Linked DNA regions of Arabidopsis thaliana. The protein of the gene in region 2 interacts with the protein of the main gene of each other region in a biochemical or structural test. Each region holds a gene or a part of one and is shown on either strand. Other genes may lie near its edges. The genes, in order: TERT and MCM5.

Region 1 (12,756 bases), on a different chromosome or scaffold from region 2:
TTATGGAATCACAAAATTGTTGAATTGAGTTTTGTATACTCAGGTTTTGGTGGTGAGAAATGATCTTAAAATGGGTAAAGGAAAGATTGCAGCTCAATGCAGGTGATAAACTAATCATGCTCTCTTTTACTATTTTAAGTGTTTAATTCATGTTTATCATTCTTACATTTGAGTGTTCTTATTCTGATTCGTTTTATTGGTCTGCATTTCTGCAGTCATGCAACTTTAGGATTATACAAGAAGCTTGTTCGTCGAGCGCCAAAAGCATTGGACTGGTATGCCTCTAAGTCATGATCAATTCCATTTGTTACTTAATATATGGATTGAATTAACAGTATAGGTTGCTATTGCAGCTGGGAGGAATGTGCACAGCCAAAAGTTGTTGTGAAAATCGAGGACGAGGACGAGATGCTAGAATTGCAAGTGAGTTTACTAAAACAAATTGTAGTAGACTGTAAAGTGGATTTTTTTTATTGAACTATATTTTGGATTCACAGCTTTAGTGCTGTTGCCAAATTGATCTTCACGGGCTTTGCAGGAGTTGCCAGATGTTAGTTTCTTGATAATTTCTGAGTTCTGACCATATACATGAATACTTAAGGGGAATTTGAGATATCATAGAGCTTATCTTGATTTTTCCCATTTCTTATATCTTGTATTGACTGTTCACAAAATTGTCAGGAAAGAGCTAAATCCCTTAAACTGCCTACCCATATCACCATTGATGCTGGAAGAACACAGATTGCCCCAAGTGAGTTTCATAAGTTCCTCCCCTCTTGAACTTGAAATCCCTTGGTGCTTTAAACTTTATGATTGCTAGTTAATTGCCAGGGAGAAAGCTCTCTTGATTCAATCTTCTTTCGTAAGTATCATTTTCTGCGAAAATGTGAATCTAATAATACGTCATGTTCTTTCCAGATTCAAGGACGGTTATGGCTATTCTTGGTAAGTTGTTATTTTTAAGATATGTGTTTGAAAGTTAAGACTCTGATGGACAAGTGATGAGTTTGAGAGTTGCAAATCACACTTACCCTAGAGAAATGTACTAGTTTATTAGTTCATGACTTCTCTTGATTGCTTGGTGCTTGTCCTTGACCCTGAATGGAATCTATAGTTCATAAGAATCCAAAATATGAAATGTAAGCTCAAAAGTTGACTCGGTCAGAAGAGGGTGTATACTTTCTGCGTGGTATCCAAATTCATATGCACCGTTCTATGACCAGGAGTTAGAGATTCTTGTAGCAGAATTTGTTTATCGGATATTATCAGCATTTCTTAACACAACATTCCAACGCTTATAGATTTTACTTCTGCAGGACCAGTCGAAGTTGTTGATGAAGTAACAGGTGGACTAAAGCTTCTTTAGCAGATTCGAATTTCGATATGACATTTCTTCAACCTGATCTCTCAGATGGACCAAGCAGAAAGGAGAGACATGAACTCCACCTTCTCTGTTCGCCCGAGGTTACCTGTGAGAAATCTGTAGTTGTTACGTATACTCGTTCCTGATGATGACGAAATATTCATTTTAAAACATTTTCCCCATTTTTCATGGGCATGTAGCATTTCCCTCTACCAATGGTGATATCATCTTTTTTTGCTGGATTTGTATTAGAAGTATCAAAAGCTCGAGCCTTTTTTGGCACATTGAGAAAATGGCTTGTTCTAATGCCAGTTCATGGGAGTGTTGGCTATATGAACATTTCAAATGTAACAACAGATCTTGTTTATTGAAGATAAACCCATGGTATGGAGTGTGATTATCTACCAAAAATAAAGAAGAAAGCTATTCATCTACAAAATTTGCTTAAATTATATAATCTACATGAGGTGTTTAACACAGTGCTTATTATCCCTTTCTTTGTCCCTTTAGATCGTTCCTGAAATCTGCTGTAGCCATGTCAAAACCCTCAGGTTGCTTCCGTGTTTGGTAGAGTGCATAGAGAGAGCATCATCACCAGTAACCTTTGCATGAACACGATCCATTTTTGAAATGATGGAAGCGACTTGAGTCCCTCAATATAATATCATGATCAATGATTCTGGACATGTATGTGAATGCTGTATGGCAATCACCACATACCCGTAAATTCTTAGTAATCCTGATAGCAGCACCTTGCGGAGTTGTTAGAATACCATATGCAAGAGCTAACTTCTCACTATGCTCGAAAAGAAGATCATCTTTCTCTTCATCGTCTACATCATGAAGAGCAAAGCCTGTTTCAGGAACATAACCAATGTCCTTGATGCGTTGCATGTGATCTAAGAGGACCTGGTATATTTCCTTAGCGTGTGGATGAGTTTTATCACCCACGAAGAACGTAGTAGTTCCTTTAATTCCTTCAACCCAACTACAACCAGGTCTTTTCTTAACTCCTTTATGTCTCATCAATGATCTGATCCTAGTCACATCTTTCCAACGCCCTGCATTTGCATACAAATTTGAGAGTAATGTATATGATCCATCATGATTAGATGCTAATTCTGTTATTTTTTCCGCAGCGTACTCCCCGAGTTCAACTTTTCCGTGGATTCTGCAGCAACTGAGAAAAGCAACCCATACCACAGGAGGAGGCTCCATTGGCATTTCTTCAATGAGACGCAAAGCTGCATTCAACCGGCCAGCACGACCTAACAAGTCAACCAAACATGCATAATGCTCCGGACCAGGACTAACCCCAAAAACAGTTTTCATTCTATTGAAATACTCCATGCCCTGATCAATCATTCCTGAATGACTACAAGCATATAATACAACAAGTAATGTAACACCATCAAGCTTAAAACCTATTCTCCTCATTTCATCAAAGATTCCAAGAGCTTCTTCTCCATAACCATGCATACCATAACCCGTCATTAGAGATGTCCAAGTAACTTCATTTTTCGCCATCATATTGTCAAATACAAGGCGGGCATCACTGATGCTTCCACATTTTGCATACATGTCTATTAGACAGTTTGATACGAACAGCGGTACTGCATTCTGCTGGTTGCGCAACGCATAAGCATGAATCTGCTTGCCAATTCTTAGTGCAGCCAAACTGGCACATGCCACGAGGGCACATGATATGGTAAAAGCATTTGGTCTTGTTTGGCAATCTTCCTCAAACATCTCAGATAAAAGTTCGAGAGCTTTATTTGCATCCCCGTGCTGGGAGTATCCACCTATCATCACAGTCCAAGTCACAACATCCCTTTCCTTGGGGGAAAGTGAATCAAACATAGCACGTGCAGTATCAACCTTTTTGCACTTAGCGTACATGTCAATCAGTTGATTGATTACCATATTCTCATCACCATGACCGTTCTTACGCAAGTCTATGGGATATTTGATGGCATAACAATGAATCTCTTTACCATGCATCAATGCTCCAACAGAAGCACAACCCGAAAGAACCGAAATAAGCGTGACTTCATTTGGTTTTATCCCAGAAGACAACATCTGCCTACACACACCCAAAGCTTCATATCCAAGTCCCCGTTGAGCATACCCTGAAATAGCAGCACTCCAAGTAACAACATCCATTTTTATTTTCTCTTCCTGCATCTTCTCAAATAACCTAACAGCATCTTCAAACCTTCCAATCTGTGAATACCCAGCAACCATAGCATTCCAAGATACTACGTCCTTCACTGACATGTTCGAAAACACCGTGTTTGCCTCATCCATCATCCCACACTTTGCATACATATCCACCAAGCAATTCCCTACAAACATATTCTGTATCATCTCACTTGTGACTGCAAAACAATGCAATTGCTTCCCTAGTGAATGAGTTCCTAGGGAAGCACAAGGAGGAAGAACATTCACAAGGGTAATATTATCAGGTCTACATCCGAATTCATTGGTCATCCTGCTAAACATTTCAAGCGCCACCTTAGGTTTGCCTAACTTTGCATAACTTTCTATTATAGAGTTCCACGATACAACATCCCAAACAGACATTTCGTCGAACACCTTCCGTGCATCACTCAATGAACGACAACGGGAATACATAGCAACAAGCGCATTCCCAACAAAGACATTGGAGATAAATCCAGTTACCAGAGAAAGCGCGTGAGCAGATTCTCCACAACGAACGGAGGATATCTCGCCGCAAGCCTTGAAGACGAAGGGGAATGTGTAATTATCCGGCGTCCATGACAGAGAATGCATAAGGCCGAACAAATAGAGACATTTATTGGCGCAGCCATTGTCGCCGTAGCTGCGAATGAGTGAATTCCAATGGTAGACACCAGCGTCAGATGGAGGAAAACGACGGAGGAGAGATACGGCATGAGATAAGCAACCGACGGAGATATAGGTGGAAATGAGGTGGGAAGTGAGATTCAAGGTTAGGATTCCGAAAGAGAGGAGTTTCTGGTGAATAAGCTTGACCTGAGAGATGGTTTTGCATTTGTGAATAAACGGCGGTGTTATCTCCGGCGCCGATGTCGAGAAGAGAGAGACTTTAATGTACTGGTGAGATTTTGCGGCGGCGTTGGGGATGAGAAGGCGGCGGATCATACTACTGTAACTAGAGTGGCGGGTGATTTCTGCGTTTAAACTAAACAAATCAATTCGGTTATATCCCGGTTTTAGATTGGAAATTTGAAGAAAGTAATGAAACCGGATGTGAAAAGAAGAAGAAAGTATAATAGACCGATTAAAATTTAAAGCGAATTTCGGTTCGGTTTATGTGCTAAGCGACCTGCGTTTGCGGTTGAGTGGACGCTTTGGATAGCGTTTGTAGCTCAGCTTTGAATTGTTTTGAAATTTTCAAAATCGCAGTTTATAGTTTCGAGAACCCAGAAGACCTTTAATCTCCCGCCTCTTTCACACCATCAGACTCCATTATCGAAGCTCGTTCACTCTTCTCTCTCTCCAAATTCGAGAGAAAGGAGGAGGAAGGTGTAATGCCGCGTAAACCTAGACATCGTGTACCGGAGATTCTATGGAGGTTATTCGGAAACAGAGCCAGGAATTTAAACGACGCAATAGTAGATCTGATTCCTAACCGGAATATCCAGCCGGAGCAATGCCGATGCCGGGGTCAAGGTTGTCTCGGTTGCAGCAGCGATAAACCGGCGTTTCTGCTGCGTTCCGATGATCCCATTCACTACCGTAAACTTCTTCACCGTTGCTTCGTTGTACTTCACGAACAAACCCCTCCGCTTCTGGATTTCTCTCCAACATCTTGGTGGTCACAGAGAGAGGTAAGATTCTTCTTCCCACTGTACTATACATTGCTTTGAGTGCTTAATTTGAGATATTTCAAGACGTGGCTACTCCTTATAAAATGCCTCTATGTTATCTTATTTTGTATGATGTTGCTGATTTCTAAACATTTTGCTTCAATTGAGTTTATCAGATTGTTGAAAGGATTATTGAAATGATGCAATCTGGATGTGATTGCCAAAATGTGATATGTGCCAGATATGATAAGGTGAATTCTTCTTCTTCCTTCTCAAACTCAATGTAGAGTGCTGATTTTCTTAGCCTAATGATTTCTCGTCTCCTTTGACAGTATGATCAGTCGAGCCCTATTTTGGAGCTATTGACAAGTTCATCTTGGGAGTTTCTTCTCAAGCGGGTTTGTTCTCAAACCCTTTTGATGATTTACTTTCAATATTCGAGTTTGCGGTCACTAATATTCAAGTTCCCTTGTTTATAGGTCGGTCATGACGTCATGGTTTATCTTCTACAGCAAACATCAATATTCTTACCATTACTAGGGAAAAAACACCAGCAAGTGTCTGGACCTCCTCTATGTATCAAGCATAAGCGTGAGTCTCAGAATTAAACTTGTATCCGAGCTCTTCTGTTGGCTTTCTTTTGAAACTTCCACTTTCTTGTTGGTTCTCTGAATACTTATGATTTGTCTGTGACTGCTTGGTTATCGATTATCAACTTCTGGTTTTTAGTTCATATTAACTTAGTAAAGTTTTCCTTCTCCATGGTATAGGGACATTGTCAGTCCATGAAAACAAAAGAAAGAGGGATGACAACGTTCAGCCACCAACGAAAAGGCAGTGGCTTTCTTCAGCTGTCGATGACTGTCCTAAGGATGACTCTGCAACTATTACGCCCATAGTTGGCGAGGATGTAGACCAACATAGAGAGAAAAAAACTACTAAGCGTTCAAGAATATATCTTAAGCGTCGGCGAAAGCAGAGAAAGGTCAATTTCAAAAAAGTTGACTGTAATGCTCCTTGTATAACTCCCAGTACAAATGGTAAAGTCTCAACTGGTAATGACGAAATGAATCTGCACATTGGTATAAATGGAAGTCTCACTGATTTTGTAAAGCAGGTAATGTTCGTAACAATGATATTGATCAATCAAGTTTAAGTTGAAAATGCACAAGTTTAAACATAAAGTTATTGCTTAAAATTACTAAGAGACGTGTATAAATTGCTCTTGATTTATCCTCAGCCTTGAGAAATTGATGGGACTATTTTTGTAGTTGTACTTTGGTGTATTTTAAAAACTGTATCATTTATCTTGTTGTATTCTGGTGGTTATTAATATTCTTCCTGACACTTCATTACCTTCAAATTCGACAATCTGTTCTTGTATTTGTAAGATTTAATCACTGTTTTTTGTAGGCTAAACAGGTTAAAAGAAACAAGAATTTCAAGTTTGGCCTCTCAGAAACGTATTCAGTTATACCACCAAACCGTATCCTTCAGTGGTTTTGACATGTTCAATGACTTGTAGCAACGATAGCTTGATGGAAGTTTAAACGTTACTCTTCTCTATACAGTTCTTCTGCATTGTGAATGATTCCTTATGATATACAGACATTTTAAAAACCTTGAGGCCCAACTGCTCTGATTCAAAGCTCCTAATGAACCATATATTTGGTGAAGTAAATGTTTGGTCAACGACGCCATCTCATGGCAAAGGCAATTGCCCCAGTGGATCTATTTGCTTGTAAGTCATCCATTTATTCTTGTAAGTTCTTCGGCTTACTCTGAGACTTGGAGCATGTATTCAGATAATGTAGAGCACATATCTAAGTAGTCTGAGTTATAAAAGGAATTTGTTTAAAAGTTTTGTTGAGGTAACTGATGCAAAGAAGAAAATGATATCATGATGTCTTTTACATTGATTTGCAGATACCATTCATTGCTCAAGTCTCTTAAAAATCTAATAGGAAAAACAAAGTCTTCACATTTAAAAATGCTACTAGACAAACACTGTCCTGTTCTCTTGCTGCAAGAGGATGCATTGAAGTCCGGAACGACTTCTCAGGTTGATATTTTTCTTTTAGAGATGGTTTTCATATTTAATTTCCCTAGCGTTTTTCGTTTGATGTCTTTTGAGTATTTCTATTTCAGAGAAGTTATGTTGAATATTCGAATATGTACAACAAAAAGAAACTAGAAATGGAAAATCAACACAGTTGCTACTTTATAGACTTTGGATATATAGTGCAAACCTGCATAAGAATTCATATCCGTGGCACTTCCAAGTGCTTCCTTGAAGTGACGAACCTTGCATATCTTGTATTACAGAGTTCAAGGAGGCAAAAAGCAGATAAGCTGCCTCATGGATCAAGTTCATCACAAACGGGAAAACCCAAATGTCCCAGTGTTGAAGAAAGGAAGCTGTATTGCACGAACGACCAAGTAGTTTCCTTTATTTGGGCCATCTGTAGGTACATTGTTCCAGAAAGTTTGCTTGGGACCACTCATCAGATGAGGGTGCTTAGGAAAAATATAGCGTGGTTTGTTTCAAGGCGACGAAATGAGAAATGCACAGTGAATCAGTTTTTGCATAAAGTGAAACCATCAGATTTCCCATTCTTTGCTAGAAAAGAGTTATGCTGTATGGTCAACGGACATGAACTCCAAAGTGAATCCATCAGAAGTACACAGCAGATGTTGTGCACGAAATGGATTTCTTGGCTTTTTTTAGAGATTGTCAAGAAATTGGTGCACTTCAACTTCTATGCCACTGAAAGCCAAGGAGGACGGCTAAATATTTATTATTACCGGAAAAGGAGCTGGGAAAGATTAATAAGCAAAGAAATTAGCAAAGCCCTTGATGGATATGTCCTAGTAGACGATGCTGAAGCTGAAAGTAGCAGGAAGAAGCTATCAAAGTTTAGATTTTTACCAAAGGCCAATGGTGTGAGGATGGTGTTAGACTTTAGTTCTTCGTCAAGGTCGCAATCTCTTCGTGATACACATGCTGTTTTGAAGGACATCCAGCTCAAAGAACCAGATGTTCTTGGGTCTTCTGTCTTTGACCATGATGATTTCTACAGAAACCTATGCCCATATCTGATCCATTTAAGAAGTCAATCTGGAGAACTTCCTCCTTTGTACTTTGTGGTTGCGGATGTATTCAAAGCATTTGATTCAGTCGACCAGGGTAAGCTGCTTCATGTCATTCAAAGTTTTCTGAAAGATGAATACATCTTAAACAGATGTAGGCTGGTCTGCTGTGGGAAGAGATCCAATTGGGTAAACAAAATACTAGTCTCGAGTGACAAAAATTCTAACTTTTCAAGATTCACATCAACTGTTCCATATAATGCACTGCAAAGTATCGTGGTTGATAAGGTATGCTTCTTTTTGACCTAGAGCTTTTTGATCTTTTTGCAGAGGGTAAAATACAAAACTATTGGACTACTTAAAAAAATCTCTAGAGATCTCTTTTCTTAGTGCTTGTAGCGTCCCTGTTGTTCTTTACTTATTTGCTTAACGGTGTTATGGTTTTGGTCCAACCTTCTAGGGAGAAAACCATCGAGTGAGGAAAAAGGATCTAATGGTTTGGATAGGAAATATGCTAAAGAACAACATGCTGCAGTTGGATAAAAGCTTCTATGTACAAATAGCTGGAATACCTCAGGGACACAGATTATCATCCTTGTTATGTTGTTTTTACTACGGGCATCTCGAGAGGACTTTGATCTACCCATTCCTCGAAGAAGCCTCTAAAGATGTGTCTTCTAAAGAATGCAGTAGAGAGGAAGAGCTTATAATTCCCACGAGCTATAAGTTACTGAGATTTATTGATGACTACCTTTTTGTGTCTACCTCAAGAGATCAGGCGAGTAGCTTCTATCACAGGTTGAAGCATGGATTTAAAGATTACAACTGCTTCATGAACGAAACAAAATTCTGCATAAATTTTGAAGATAAAGAAGAACATAGGTGTTCTTCTAATAGAATGTTTGTGGGAGATAATGGAGTTCCTTTTGTCAGATGGACGGGTTTGCTTATTAATTCCCGCACATTTGAAGTTCAAGTTGACTACACAAGGTCTGCCTCATCTCCTGTATGTTTCCTTCATAAGTATACTTGTTTGGCTCTGTTTCCTCAGCTTTTATTTATAATTTTGCCTCAAATTCATGGAAACAGGTACTTGAGTGGCCATATAAGCTCAACTTTTTCTGTAGCTTGGCAGAACAAACCAGTTAGAAATCTTCGGCAAAAATTGTGTTACTTCTTGGTTCCGAAATGTCATCCAATTCTATTTGACTCGAACATCAACTCGGGAGAAATCGTCAGGTTAAACATCTATCAGATCTTTCTGTTGGCTGCAATGAAGTTTCACTGTTATGTCTACGAGGTGTCCCGGTTTTGGAAGCTTCATCCTCAAACTTTGTTCAAATTCATCACAATATCTGTCAGGTATGGAATCAAAACTACATCATATGTCTGTGAGCATTTCGGTTTTTGGATCATTCTGATTTGAGTTATTCGGTCTTTTTTTGCTTATTCGGTTCTTGATTTCTTTCCAACTGATAGGTACATGTTCAGACTCATAAATAGAAGGGTGCGCAGAATCAACACTGGTTCTAGTTTCAGACCAGTTCTTAAACTATACAAAGAAGAAGTGATATGGCTTGGCTTAGACGCTTATATTCAAGTTCTGAAGAAGAAAAACTCGAGATATCGAATGCTCTTGATCTATTTAAAATCTGCACTTTCTAAACACTCTCTTTCTCAGCAGCTATCGTCGGAATTGAGGTATGCAACAGACCGGTCAAACTCTTCTTCGCTGTGGAAGTTGAATTATTGAAACTGATCTTAACTAGATTTTATCATCGAAACTTAGGTAGATCCTTTAAATTTCTATTTCAGTCATTTTGATAATCTAGGAACAAAATGGATTTGTAACATTTAGGGTAAAGAAAGATTTAAATGTCAACTTATTAAATATGTATATTGGAAAAAACCCAAACTATAGTCTAATAGTGGTAGGGAAAATCCAGGCATAGCTTATATGGTACATCCCAAAGACCAAACCAGATTTCCAACTTCCATGTCAAAGAAACCAACAAGGAGAAACAAAGGAAACTGTTTAACTTGATGATATTAGTTCTTCGAGTATTCGGACGAATGAATCGGAGAATACCCTTCTGGCAGTTGCTGCTGCGACTGTGCTGGTTGCGATGGTTGCTCAGCTTCAACCTTCTCTTTTGTTTTCTGTCCAACCTCTCCAGCTGCTTGAGCCACTCTATTGAATGCTCCTGCGGCCCAGCTCACACCAGTTAACACGTAACGGTTCTTCATCACAGCGCTTCCTGCACTGCTCACAGTCTGCTCCGCAGCTGCATACACAGACTTGGTCCTCTCTGTTACCTGAAAGTTTTGGTCCACCGCCTTGATTTTTTCGTTCACCAAGCTTGTTCCAGCTGTAAGTTTCTGGCTAAGACCGATTTTTTGGTCTAGTGAAGCAACTCCTGCGGTGGCGGTTGAGGTGAAACCATGTTTCTCATCAAAAGCTTTTGCTTTGCCGACAGCATCTTTCCCAAGAATGAAACCCTTTGCTAACATGCTGCTCACAACATCTTCTGCCTTCTGGACAACAGATTCTGCACCGCTGCTCTGTGTTTCCTGAGAAAATTAACACAAATTAACACCTCTACGAAATTACTGCTCTATTGAGTGTTGAGATGAATACTTTTCACTAATCAAAAAGAAGAAAAACAGTATGAAGAAGACATTACAGCATGAGGGGCTGCTGGTGGACTGTAGTTGGGAGCCAACTCAATGATGACTGATTGATCGGCAATACTCGCTCCCTGAAATAACACCCCTTGTTAGTAATGCAAATTGCAAATGGTCCCAAATATTAGTTGTAAGCAAACTAATTTTACTTATAAATACTCAGAGATACTTTGTCTGGACTAGAGAAGTATAACCATATTAAACGAAGGTTTATAGACATGGATTGATTACTAAATTAACAGTGTTATGTAAGAGTTGAATGCTACTACAATAATATTGAGATAAGAGTGAACCCACAGATAAGAGCACAGCAGTCTCTGCTCCTTGAGTTTCTTTAAATGTGACATAAGCACTATGCTCGTTACTGCTAGTTAGAAAAAGAAAACAAAAACAAAGCTCAGAGTCAGTAAGTTTAAGAGAACTGTATCTAAATTTGCTGAGAAAAAGCTTCGGAAGTTAATTGATCAAAAAAAGCTTTAAATGTCAAAATTTTGAAATCAAAGAACAAGGAAACAATATCACTAACCTTTGGATATCGATGCTTTCAACTTCACCAGAGAAAGAGAAAAACTCTTTAATATCATGCTCAGTTGCTCCTGAAGAGAGATTGCCAACTTTTACTGACCTTACCTGTGACTGTCATCATAAAGAATCAAAAGGGAAAGAATCATTAACGAAAACAATAAACAGGTGTTTCATGAGAATGTTTACAGTACAACTACTTTTTGTATCCAAGCATATCTAATCGACCGAAAGTCCCATTTTAATCAAATCAGCTCAAACTCAAAGAAGCCTAGATTTATCACAAGATTATACAATTATGCAAGTAAAGGGATAATATTATAGTGGCTTAGAAGATGACTGTCATCATCTCACTATACAAAAAGAAAACTCGAATGAACCATGAAGGCTACCAATTAAGGAAACTAATCGACAATGTATGGAGGAATCTAAAAGTAAATTGGCTAGCGAGATTCGGTTCCAAATTGAGAATAACACAATCGCGATTTACTACGATAAACGAAAACCAAAACCGAGAAATCAAGGAGATAATAGAGATAATTGCACGAATACAGATCACACAGAGATACAGAATCAATTAATAACGACAATAATAATCATCAAACTCGTCCAAATAGCATTGGAGATATTATGTCGGCAAGTGCAGCAATCAAACAACAGATCATCCAAATTGAAGAAGAAATCAAATCAATAGCCAAAAATATCAATCCTGAGAAAATTTCCCGATAAACAAATGGATCGCAACAATATCTACCAGCAGAGGAAACCTAAACCTTTTCCGCATAAAACAAAATTATACACAAAAAAAAAGTAGAGCATACCGCCATGGATGTTGATCTTCGAAGTCGCGCAGAGAGAGAGATATGTAATTTGTTGCTTTTGTCACGCAGATTCAGAGATTGGCCTGAAAACCGAAACGTACTTCGAGATCGATGATGCGTAGATAGATAGAGAGGGAAGAGTGTATTTTGCTTTATATGACACCTCACACTCAACGTGTGGGTTTGCGTTACGCCCTTTAATCCTATTTTAGTCCCTAATTGTTTCCAACAATTAATATTTTCACTTTTTTAGTATATATTTCTATTTTTTCCCTCTTCAGTTCAAAACAAAAGTTAGGAGTTTCGTAACACAATTATTAAGTTTATGTTTTATTAGAAAAAAATACATAAAAATTTTACTTTTTATCAACAAAAATATATCATTGTTTTTCTATAAAAAGTGGTTTATGTATCAAAGTGATTACTGTAATTATTAATTCAGTCATAAAATATGATAACTTGG
Region 2 (11,504 bases):
TGGTGTCCCTTAGAGAAGAAGAAGAGTTCAAATTTTCTACTAACTGAAAATTGCTTCAGGTCTTCTACAGGTCTACTTCAAGGGAACTACGAAGGTTGGACAGTGTTTCACGATCACCGATATATGCATCGTTCACGGAGACACTTGATGGGTCATCAACTATCAGGGCTTTTAAGTCTGAGGTAGTTTTGGTTCTGCTTCTAAATGTCAGGTTTTGCTTCTCCATTAATGACAAAACTGTATGCTAATTCCGGTTTGCATGACAGGAGCATTTTGTAGGTAGATTTATTGAGCATTTGACGCTATACCAGCGGACTTCTTACTCAGAGATAATCGCAAGCTTGTGGCTCTCCTTGCGTCTTCAGGTACACTAATACATCTTTGCTTACATTTTGTAGAACATTTTTCATTCACCTTTTGAGAATTGGTAACAATGTTTAGTTTCATGTGTCTGCAATAAATATGGAAATCTCGAAAAATCGCTGATAAGTTGAGTAAAATGGTGCAGTTGTTAGGATCAATGATTGTCTTATTTGTCGCTGTAATGGCTGTCCTCGGCTCCGGGGGGAACTTTCCAATCAGTTTTGGTACACCTGGACTGGTAAGAAACTGCAGTTTTCATAAATATATAGGAAAGTGAAAAGCATACTATTTATAATTTGGATCACAGGTGGGATTAGCGCTCTCATATGCAGCTCCATTGGTTTCTCTGTTAGGAAGCTTGTTAACAAGTTTTACTGAAACAGAAAAAGAAATGGTTTCTGTTGAAAGGGTTCTCCAGGTAATGATTCTGATTCTTTTTTTGGTTTGTCAACCGAAATTAATTGCAGCTCAAAAGAGCCATTCCTGAGGAATGTTGTTTACATATATGATATGATGTGGTTCGGTACAAATTCGTCGTGCCAAATTATCCACTTCTACATTCGCACTACGAGAAATCAAAGATAAAGATAATGATTCTGATTCATTAAGTAATTTTTGTATGTTAGTGTTACTAATTACATGAACCATGCTCTCCTGTGTTATTAGTACATGGATGTGCCTCAAGAAGAAGTTTCAGGTCCTCAATCTCTCAGCGATAAGTGGCCTGTTCACGGATTAGTTGAGTTTCACAATGTGACAATGAGATACATCTCAACTCTGCCTCCGGCCCTCACCCAAATTTCTTTTACAATCCAAGGAGGAATGCATGTACGTGTATCGCCGAGCACTCTACAACAGACTTGACTTTTTCTGTTTTTATCTTTTCTCCCAACATATACAATTTATATGAAGTTATCGGGAAGAGACTATCCGCTAGAGAGAGCACTCTACAACAGAATTGACTTTTTCTGTCTCATGATTGTTTTGTTTTCATTTATCAGGTAGGAGTAATTGGAAGAACTGGTGCCGGGAAGTCCTCGATCTTGAATGCGCTTTTCCGGCTTACTCCTGTTTGTAGTGGAGAGATATTGGTGGATGGAAAAAACATAAGCCATCTTCCGATAAGAGAACTCCGTTCTTGCCTCGCTGTTGTTCCTCAGAGCCCTTTTCTGTTTCAAGGATCACTGAGGTGAGAACTTAACTCCTTCAATTCACTAACCAAAGGTGTTGCCTGCAGTTTCATAATGAAAAAAAGTTGTGGTTCTCGTAGGGATAACCTTGATCCTCTTGGGTTGAGTGAGGATTGGAGAATCTGGGAGATCCTAGACAAGTGTAAAGTTAAGGCAGCGGTAGAAAGTGTAGGAGGGTTAGATTCATATGTAAAGGAATCTGGTTGTTCCTTTTCTGTTGGACAGAGACAGCTTTTGTGCCTTGCTCGTGCTTTGCTCAAGTCATCTAAGATCCTATGCCTTGATGAATGCACCGCCAACATCGATGTTCACACAGCTTCCCTACTCCACAACACGATATCGAGTGAATGCAAAGGCGTAACCGTCATTACCATTGCTCACCGCATTTCTACGGTTGTTGATTTAGACAGCATCCTAATTCTTGATCGTGGAATTCTTGTTGAACAAGGAAAACCACAACATCTTTTGCAAGATGACTCCTCAACTTTTTCAAGCTTTGTCAGAGCTTCTCAGTGAAATGTTGTTAGAATCTGATCACTTGTAACTTCTGATCTCTGCTATAATTATCTTGTCATGGAAATTAAGAAAAACTAGTTTCAACTGTAGTAGCTCATTTATATGCTCAGTTTTCCATAATAAATGAGTCTTCATGGACTTGCCTAATCCAAATTCATAAATATCTATCTAATTCGATGGTGATTGAGAACTGAGAAGTAAACAATGGTACTCTTATTGTCTGTTTTTCTTCCAAGAAGTTAGTTCAGAAGGAATTGATTCTTCATTGCAACTTAAAACAGCTTTAGCCATGAGTTTCCCAAGCTATGCATGATAGAGTAAAGTAATTGGCCAAAAATATGTTAAATAGAGAAGCAATTATCTCTCAACAACACAAGAACAAAATGAAATTGAGAGATTCCGGGAGCTTCAGAACCAGTTCAAAATTCAACAACATACTAGTTTTGTAACCCGAACCAGTTTAAAAGAAGAACATTTTGAGTCAAGTTCAACCATGGTTATTTATTTCATTTTTTTTTCAAGGTAACAACATTCTACTAATAACAACATTAAGAAAATTTTAATTTACATATACGTTCAGATTACACTTTTACTTTATCAACTATTCTATCTGCATCTTTACTTTAACTATCGGCACTAGATTATACCATTCAGCAATCTTCAAACGCTTTCCTAACATTGGCGTGACATTTTAACTAAGGACAACAAAGGTGGAGAATACATTAGTTTGAAGCAAGCGTAAAAGTTTACTAAGAATCTTCATCAAATACACATGACATAAGCTTCTCTTTCTACTTTTTGCCTACAAATTAACTTGATAATATTAAATATTTTGTTTTGTTTGGTCATCGCTGCTACTAAAGAAGAGAGATTGCATGCCTAGACGATCAAGCTTTGCGGACAATAGAACGTCTCTCTCGCTGGTACTCAACTTCACCTCTCTGGTGCATTATCAACAAAGCTCTCCTCACCTGCCATTTTAACATGCACATTACCTCAAAAATCCCATTCACATTACTGAAAATTAAACAACAAAGATGTTAGCTTAGGTACCATTGAATCGTTCATTCCCATTCTAGCCAGATCCTCTATCAGTCTTCTCTCTGATAATCGAGCTCCGATCCCCATTCTTCTCTTTATCTGTGTTTCCGCTTGCTGTTTTTTCACACCAATACCAAATTTAGTTATTACATCTAGAGATACGATGATTCTTTCTTCCCCACAAGCAACTAACCTTGATTTCATTGGCCATCTCGCCTGTTATGTTTATCTGTTGATTTATCCCTGATCTTGCTGCATCCATTGTCGAGGTATCAAAAAGTTTAAAAGCTTTGTCTACATCATCTGGTGTGGCCTCGTGTGACCTGACATATTTAACAATGTCAATGGACGGCACATCCCATCAGGTTTCAGGAATCAGGAATCTCTATGTTAATAAGATTACTTACAGTCTCATTTTTGCAAGTGACTCACTCAGTCTGACAATAGCTTCGAGTTGTCTCACTGTGATAGGTATCGGAGCAGCCTCTCCTGTTTCATGTGCACGTCTCTTCATATCCTGTTTAGCCGAAAATTTTATACTGACACCAACTTTGTTTTTTAACCATCTTATTGTCAAATCTAATGTAAATGACAATTACCATTCTGATTGTGACATATTTCCGCTGCAGGTTCTCAGCAGCGTCTTTTGAGAGACGGGGATGACACCTTGCTCGACAGTATTGTATATACCTAACATAAAAAGAGCATTATATTTTAGAGTCATGATTTTGTACAGAAAACTGCGAGAACACATTGTTTTCTCGACGAATGAAAACACACCTTTTGAGCCAATTATCTTCTTTAGAATCTGTGTTTTCATCCGAAAATTTGTTTGCAGATGCATGAACCCTTATAATATGGCTGGCTATTTCCTGTGAAAAGATTATAAACATTAATCATGTCTACATAATAAGCAAGCAACGAAGCAAACTTTCCAATAACAGTGACCTCCATCATTAATCTCTGTTTTCCCTTTTAACTACATAAAATTTCTGAAAGAATTGTTCCTTTCCTTGCTTACCTTGTCTTGGGAATACTTCCTGATGTCCTTGACAATGAAGATAAGATCAAATCTAGAAAGAATTGTTGTCTGCAGATCGATATTGTCCTGAGCAGTCTGCAAATCCAAAGAAAAAAAAACACACCCATCTCTTAAGAATATTGCAAACAAGAATCGGGAAAACCATGATATTGCCAAAGGAGAGTACCAGATTTCAAACCTTAAGGTCATCATATCGACCAGATGGCGGGTTAGCAGCAGCAAGCACCGAGGTTCTAGAATTAAGGACAGTTGTTATCCCAGCTTTTGCAATGGAGATTGTCTGCTGCTCCATTGCCTCATGAATAGCAACCCTATAAAGAAAAAAAAAACATTCCATCAATTCTACTCATAGAGAAAAATTAGATTCGTCAACACTATGATTCAGATTTGAATTACCTATCTTCCGGTCTCATCTTGTCAAATTCATCAATACACACAACACCTCCATCAGCCAAAACCATAGCACCACCTTCAAGATAGAACTCTCGCTGCAATGAACATATGTATAAATAACTGAGAATCTGTCATAGCAACTACTTTTAAACAAATCATAGAAAAACACTTGAAGATAGGACATACAGTGCTGCTATCTCGAATCACCGAAGCTGTGAGCCCAGCAGCCGATGAACCCTTTCCAGATGTATAAACAGCAATTGGAGCCGTCTTCTCCACAAACTTAAGAAACTAGAGAGAAAAAAAATAAGCAATTAAGCTTTAAACATGTAAGCTACAGGTGTTGGAAATAACACAGACATTTTGTAAGGATTGTAATCTAACACTTGAACAGAAGGATGTAAGACGAATATCAAGCAAATAAGAGAGACGTAAGAAAATATAAAAAGAATAACACACTTATTATAAACCATTGATACTGAGACCACATTACAAACCTGTGATTTTGCAGTTGATGGGTCTCCCAAAAGCAAAACATTAATATCACCTCTTAGTTTCACTCCATCGGGCAGGCTCTGAATCAAAGATAGAAATGTATATAAATATATCAAAAACGTATACAAAGTGCACAGAAAATAAAAACTGCTATCACAGTTTCCTACCTTCCTGGATCCTCCAAAGAGAAGACACGCAGCTGCTCTCTTCACATCCTCATGGCCAAATATAGAAGGAGCGATCTTGGTGCAAATGTTCTTGTATACATCTTGACTATCAGCAAACTTTTTGAATTCTTCCTCCTAAAAGTAATATTATGGAAGACAAAACTGATAAATGGAATTGTACAACTAGGCTTCCAAGCAGGCCTAAATGTTTCATAGTAAACTAGTAGCACAGAGAATATTTCCAGAAAACACCATCACATTCATTTGGGAGTTACACAAAGAATTTCATAGAGCCAACAGCTACCTAAGGCATTTGGTTTCCAGTAACAATAATTCAGCCATGTTAACTTCAATAGTTCATTGTGAAACCATGGATGACATAGGCTATCAAATGAGAAAACAAAAAGAACCAAATGATGCGATACTAACTTCGTCAGGAGTGAAGTTGGCAGGGCCACGGGAACTGGCCTCATTTGTGTCTTCCAGTCCAACAACTCGGATATAAGGCTGGCGAATTGCAACTGCTCCTTTATGCCTACATCAGAAAGTAGGAAAAGATGTCCATCATTGTTGTGGTGTAACTCTCCCAGAAAACAATCTACACTCTCATTTGACATAAAACTACAAAGCTTACGAGTTAGATGATGACGAAGCTTGGAAAATGCTGTAGATACCCATTACTGTCAGTCTGGTTCCAGGTACAATTGTTTGTACAAGATGCCGATCAACTGAGAGAAGCATATTTCTTGGAAGCTCTCCAGTAGGAACATCCTTCAAAACTCAGAAGCATTTAATATATACAAGTGCAAAAAAAGCGAAAACATTACAATGTAAATCTATACCTCCGGATTCTCCTGTAGCTTTAAGGTCTGTTGATCAACATACTGGCTCCTATCAGGAACCACCATCCAAGGATCAAGAGGGCAAGGCTCCTCTCCAGGCTAAACAAATTCCAATTTGGTCTAATCAACACCAAGGATAACTACAAACTCAAATCACAAACGAATCAAAAGAACTCACCTGTGGAATATTATCACATGATCGAGGAACAATTGCCCCACCAAGACCCGGACGACATGGAACTTCCCTTGTCTTTTTACAATTCTTACATACCAAAAACACATAAGTCGCCTTTGCTTTCACTCTCGAAGCTGCAATACTAATCCCAGAGATTTTCACCAACTTTGAGATGTACTGTGCCTATCAAGAGTAAAGAGTACATTATAGACATACCCCAAGTAATCTCATTGATACTAAAAACAAAAAAACAGACATACCCCAAGTAATCTCATTGATACTGGATCCTCTCTTGAAGTGAGCAAAATCTGCACATCTCTAGTCAGAGGTTCCTCCATTACCCCTCCCTCATTAGCCTCCCTCATTTTCAATCCAGTCAACACTTCACCAGCTGCTTTCTCAAACTACAATTCAAAGATTGACTCACTCAATACAAAGCTTATATGAACCCTAATTTTTTTTGAAGTCATACCACAGGGAGATAATCGGCAGGAGCAGATCGGATTAAGGAGGGGAGATCGGAATCAAAGGAGAGGAGATCTTCGAGGTGGACAACAAGTCGCTTAGGGTTATCGAGGAGAGCTTCTCTGTAGGGGAAACAATTCTGTTCGATCTCGAAGTTTCGAATGAATTCCTTAAATTTGGTTAAGACGGCGTGGGGACTGATGGTTGCGGCGTCTCCGGCCTCCGGGAACTGCGGCTGGTCGCTGTAGTAAACTGCTCCTTCGTCCCATCCTGACATCGTTGCTTCGTCTCCGTTACGAATTTCTCTATCTCTTTCTCTCTTATCAAAAAGTTCTAAACGAAGAGAGAGAGTGGGGGCAAGGGCTTTATGTCGACTATGAGTTTTGGCGGGAACAATGTGGCGGGAAACTGATGGGCCGAACCCAAGACCTATGGACGGGTAAATGGATTTCGTTGGTTATTGGGTCTTTCTTTCTTTTTCTTTTTAGCTAAGGTTACATTTTTTATCCATTTTTTCTAATTTATTATAAAAAACCAAACAGATAAAAATATAATTATGGACTACATCTAGGAATCTTAAATTTATGAATTGCACATTTTAGAATTTCATATTTTTAAGCTACTTAATATCGTTGTAAGCATTTTCAATTCCATCGTAATTTTCTTCAATGTCACTTAAAATTTAAGGCTATATTAATATATATGTTTAAAAGAATAGTTTTTAGTTTTATAACATTAATAATTTGAAAATTAAGTAACTATAAAAAAGAAAAGAAAAATCAACCATATATATCCTTCTCATTTACGTTAATTACAGAAATGTCATTAACATGATAAATGTTTTTGAGAATATTAGGTAATTGGACACTTTTTTGAAACTCAATTACGCAATAAAGCACTTTAGAAAGAGTAAACACTTTTTAAAGTTTTTTTACTACTACACCATCAACCCAACCTAAGCAATCCAAACTTACCATAATTTACAACCATTACTTTTTCTCTCTTTTCATTCATTTTTTTCTCTACTCTTTACAAAATTAAACACACAAAACACTTAAAATATCTTAATGAAAAAAGGAAATGGTTTGAGACATTATCTCTCTTCTCTCTCATCAAAAACACCAAAAAGTAGATCTAGATTTTTCTTTTTTCTTTCTCTTCTTAGATCTTAAAAGTTGGAAATTTTCAAGATTTTTATTCAGTTTCTCATTCTTTAATCAACCTCATAAGGTTAAAATTTTCATTTTTAATTGCTAGGTTTCTTCTTCTCTTAGTGTATCCATCATTGTCTTGGTCAAATTTTTGTCTTTTTACAAATCTTAGATTTGGCCACCAAATATTTGTGGAAATTCCTCAAAGAGAGAGAGAGAGTTGAATTAAAGAACCCAAACATATATTCTTACTATAAATTTGTAACTTAAAGGTAGTTTGATGCTATTTTCATTAAAACACATGAGCAAATAATGAAAAAATGGAAAAAATACAAAACAAATCAAAGAAGAGTGATAGGCGATAATTTGAAATGACCACATGGTCAGAGTTTGGTGGATGTGTGTTGACGGTCGATAATTCAAAATGATTGTGTTTTGTTAATACTATTCATAAAACCAGTGTTACGTTATGTAAAAGATGTTGATAAAATGTGATGAAACAAGTTTTGTTGGTCATATCAACAAAAGTTTATTTATGAAAATGTTTATATTTATTTATCCACGATTACATATTAACAAAACATAAATACGAGTGTATATCGTAAGATTGTGTATGAACACATCGATCTCAATAATATTTTACGTTTTCAGGTTAAGAAGCGTGCTTTAGATTATCATGGATCAAAAGTGGTGGTTATAGATTATGTACATATAAAACTTAGGTTTTAGGGTTTAGGCTTTAAAGTCAAGGGCTAGGGTTTAATGTCTAGGGTTTAAGATTTAGTATCTAGTGTTTACATTTTAGGATTTAGGCTTTATTGTTTAGGATTTCGCGTTTAGTTTAGATGATTTAGGGTTTTGGGTTGAAGAATCAAAGTTGTCTACAATGATTTAGGGTTTATGGTTACATGTTTCTCATTGGAGATTATATATTCCATTGTTGTCCATATGGATTGGATAATATGGATTTTCTATCTCAATTTGTTTATATTTAGGGGATTTATGTTTAATATTTATGGACAACAACAAGAAGTTTTAAAGTGAAGATCTTAGAATTTAGGGTTTAGGGTTTAGGGTATACGTGATATGGTATATGTATATTGTTAAGGGTTTAGTCTTTATGGTTTAACAGGTTTAGGGTTTAATATCAAGGGTTTAGAGTTTAGGGTTTAGGGTTTAGGGTTTAGGGGTTTAGGGTTTAGGATTTAGGATTTAGGATTTAGGATTTAAGATTTAGGGTTTAGGGTTTCGGGTATAAATTTAGGGGTTAGGGTTTAATGTTTAGAGTTTAGTATCTAGTGTTTAGGGTTTTAGATTTAGTGTTAAGGAACTATGATTGTTTACAATGATTATAGAGTTTATTGTAGATGGTATAAGGTTTAGGGTTAATTGACCATGGTCATATACAATTATTTTTGGGTTTAGGGTTATATGCTTCTTGTTAGATTATATATTTCCATTTTGATCATATGAATTAAATCATATGAATTTTTTATGTTCTCAATTGGTTTATGTTTAGGGGATTTATGCTTAATATTTATAAGCAATAATAAGAAGGTTTAAAATTTAGGGTTTATATGGTAAATGGTATATGATATATTTCTATGGTTAAGGGCTTAGTGTCTATGGTTTAAAGTTTAGGGTTTATGGTTTAGGTGTTTAAGGTTTAGAGTTTAGGGTTTAGCGTTTAGGGTTTAAAGTTTAGGGTTTAGGGTTTAGGGTTTAGGGATAAGAGGTTTAAGCTTAATATTTATGGGCAACATTAAGAAGGTTTGGGATTTAGGGTTTATGGTATATGGTATATGGTATAGGGTATACGTATATGGTTAAGGGCTTAGTGTTTATGGGTTAAAGTTTAGGGTTTAGGGTTTAGATATAGAAGTTAGGGTTTAATGTATAGAGTTTAATATCTAATGTTTAGGGTTTAGAATTTAGTGTTAAGGAACTATGATTGTTTATAATGATTTTAGAGTTTATGGTTATATGGTTCTCATTAAAGATTATATATTTCATTGTTGTCCAAATGGATTAAATCATATGGATTTTTTGTTTTCTGAATCTGTTTATGTTTTGATGATACAATAAATAATAGTATGAATAAATATAGTAATATGGATTTCATGAAGGAAAAAATGTTATTATTATATATTTTATAAAAAATGATTTTTAATCAAATAGAGAATGTCTTAAATTAAATAAAAATTAAATAACAAAAGGAAGAGAGAGAAGAAATTGACAAGAAAGATAAGAAAGTGATAGATAGAGAAAATATGTTTTATTTATTTAAATTTGACGGTCAAGATTAAAAGAGATTAACTTTACCTTTCAATTCGATGGACGAGATGATTCCGTCAAAACCATTTCTTAACCATGCTACTTGATTTAAGGTGAAGAGAATAAGGGGTAAACTGGTATTGATTTTTTTAAAATAGTGAAAAAACTCCAAAAAAGTGTCTATTCTCTTCAATGTGCCCTAAATGCACTAAAAACTTGGAAAATGCCCCAATCATGAAAGAAGCCCAATTTTTTCTGACGTAATATGTGGCGACACAGTTCATAAACCGCTCGATAACACTGCTCACATGCGACCGAAACACTATTCATCAGATGATATAGTAAAACATCATATGATTTAAGCATTTATCTATTTGTTTTATATGCTAAAAAATATGATATCGCGATAAGTTTACTTTTAAACAAATCTTTTATCGACCTAGAATTGAAAATTAATATATTTTTATTTATGTAAATATCAGTTCAATTTAAAGAATTAGTTTATTTCTTACATAATTAATATAATAGCAGTTAAAACAACATGTTATATAAAATAATAACATGCTAACATATTTAATATCTAGATAATATTTGTATGAACGTGCCATCTCAATCCACGTTTTCATTCACGCCACCTCTTTTTTTGTCAACTCACCAATACTGATTTTAATATCTTTGTTTCGATTTGATTTTATGTTTCCATTATTATTCTTATAGTTTTGTATCGTCAGAAATTAAATAAAAGAGAAACAAAAGAAAGAAAAAAAGAAAAGAGAGAAAAGGGGTAAAAGAGTCAAAAAGAGGATGATAAAAAGAGGATAAACAAAAAAGAGGATGATAGTGACATGTGCACAGTGATCAAGTGGTCAACCTAATTAATGAGTCGTTCATGTATATCTATTGATATTACCCTAAAATTTAAAGATGTGATTCAACTAAATAAAATAAGTTTATTACAAAAATATAAACTTTTTATTACCTTCTAAATTCACAAAACCACGTAGTCAATTTCAAGTATAAAGCAAGGTTTTGACAATTTTTAGAATAAGACAATTTTTTTTACAAAGATTTAACCACTTACATCCAATACTAAACGATGATTTTGTTACTATTGTGGTGATTAAAATGCTAAACACATAAAGACGCTCATAACCTCCATGTACGTTAAAGACATCAAATCTAAATATTTTTCCAAATTTGATGTTGTGTTGTCAAAACCAAGCTGGATGCTCCTCTTAACATCAAAGAGATCATGTATGATATAGACATACTAAATTAAACAAGTATGATTATTATACTATGAACTTGAAATGTGAATTGATTTAAGAATTTACACCCACAACCTCATATCTATCCCATAACTAGAATGGTAATGTACTAATCCCGATAA

Evidence for each region.
Region 1: the proteins of MCM5 (region 2) and TERT form a complex in vitro, tested with the Arabidopsis thaliana proteins (one study listed by BioGRID).

Annotation. Positions count from the first base shown.
Region 1 is NC_003076.8:5,535,585-5,548,340, reverse strand, and holds TERT (telomerase reverse transcriptase), read left to right. Parts: upstream 1-4,781; 5' UTR 4,782-4,896; coding exon 4,897-5,196; intron 5,197-5,351; coding exon 5,352-5,426; intron 5,427-5,507; coding exon 5,508-5,573; intron 5,574-5,654; coding exon 5,655-5,766; intron 5,767-5,945; coding exon 5,946-6,292; intron 6,293-6,588; coding exon 6,589-6,661; intron 6,662-6,783; coding exon 6,784-6,916; intron 6,917-7,101; coding exon 7,102-7,237; intron 7,238-7,500; coding exon 7,501-8,553; intron 8,554-8,725; coding exon 8,726-9,255; coding exon of another isoform or gene 9,256-9,271; intron 9,272-9,354; coding exon 9,355-9,627; intron 9,628-9,744; coding exon 9,745-10,018; 3' UTR 10,019-10,161; downstream 10,162-12,756. Other genes in the region: AT5G16870 (Peptidyl-tRNA hydrolase II (PTH2) family protein), read left to right, coding at 44-102, 216-275, 354-423, 682-751, 919-945, 1,317-1,366; AT5G16860 (Tetratricopeptide repeat (TPR)-like superfamily protein), read right to left, coding at 1,955-4,507; BPA1 (binding partner of acd11 1), read right to left, coding at 10,315-10,836, 10,950-11,024, 11,248-11,317, 11,477-11,586, 12,294-12,299. UniProt on the Arabidopsis thaliana protein: Telomerase is a ribonucleoprotein enzyme essential for the replication of chromosome termini in most eukaryotes. It elongates telomeres.
Region 2 is NC_003071.7:3,520,423-3,531,926, forward strand, and holds MCM5 (Minichromosome maintenance (MCM2/3/5) family protein), read right to left. Parts: upstream 7,079-11,504; 5' UTR 6,967-7,078; coding exon 6,697-6,966; intron 6,629-6,696; coding exon 6,485-6,628; intron 6,408-6,484; coding exon 6,228-6,407; intron 6,149-6,227; coding exon 6,050-6,148; intron 5,979-6,049; coding exon 5,842-5,978; intron 5,743-5,841; coding exon 5,637-5,742; intron 5,343-5,636; coding exon 5,208-5,342; intron 5,121-5,207; coding exon 5,043-5,120; intron 4,837-5,042; coding exon 4,732-4,836; intron 4,641-4,731; coding exon 4,549-4,640; intron 4,464-4,548; coding exon 4,331-4,463; intron 4,228-4,330; coding exon 4,132-4,227; intron 3,983-4,131; coding exon 3,891-3,982; intron 3,801-3,890; coding exon 3,710-3,800; intron 3,628-3,709; coding exon 3,518-3,627; intron 3,434-3,517; coding exon 3,304-3,433; intron 3,225-3,303; coding exon 3,123-3,224; intron 3,041-3,122; coding exon 2,957-3,040; 3' UTR 2,562-2,956; downstream 1-2,561. Other genes in the region: ABCC13 (multidrug resistance-associated protein 11), read left to right, coding at 60-182, 267-365, 509-601, 671-781, 1,030-1,191, 1,365-1,552, 1,634-2,069. UniProt on the Arabidopsis thaliana protein: Probable component of the MCM2-7 complex (MCM complex) that may function as a DNA helicase and which is essential to undergo a single round of replication initiation and elongation per cell cycle in eukaryotic cells.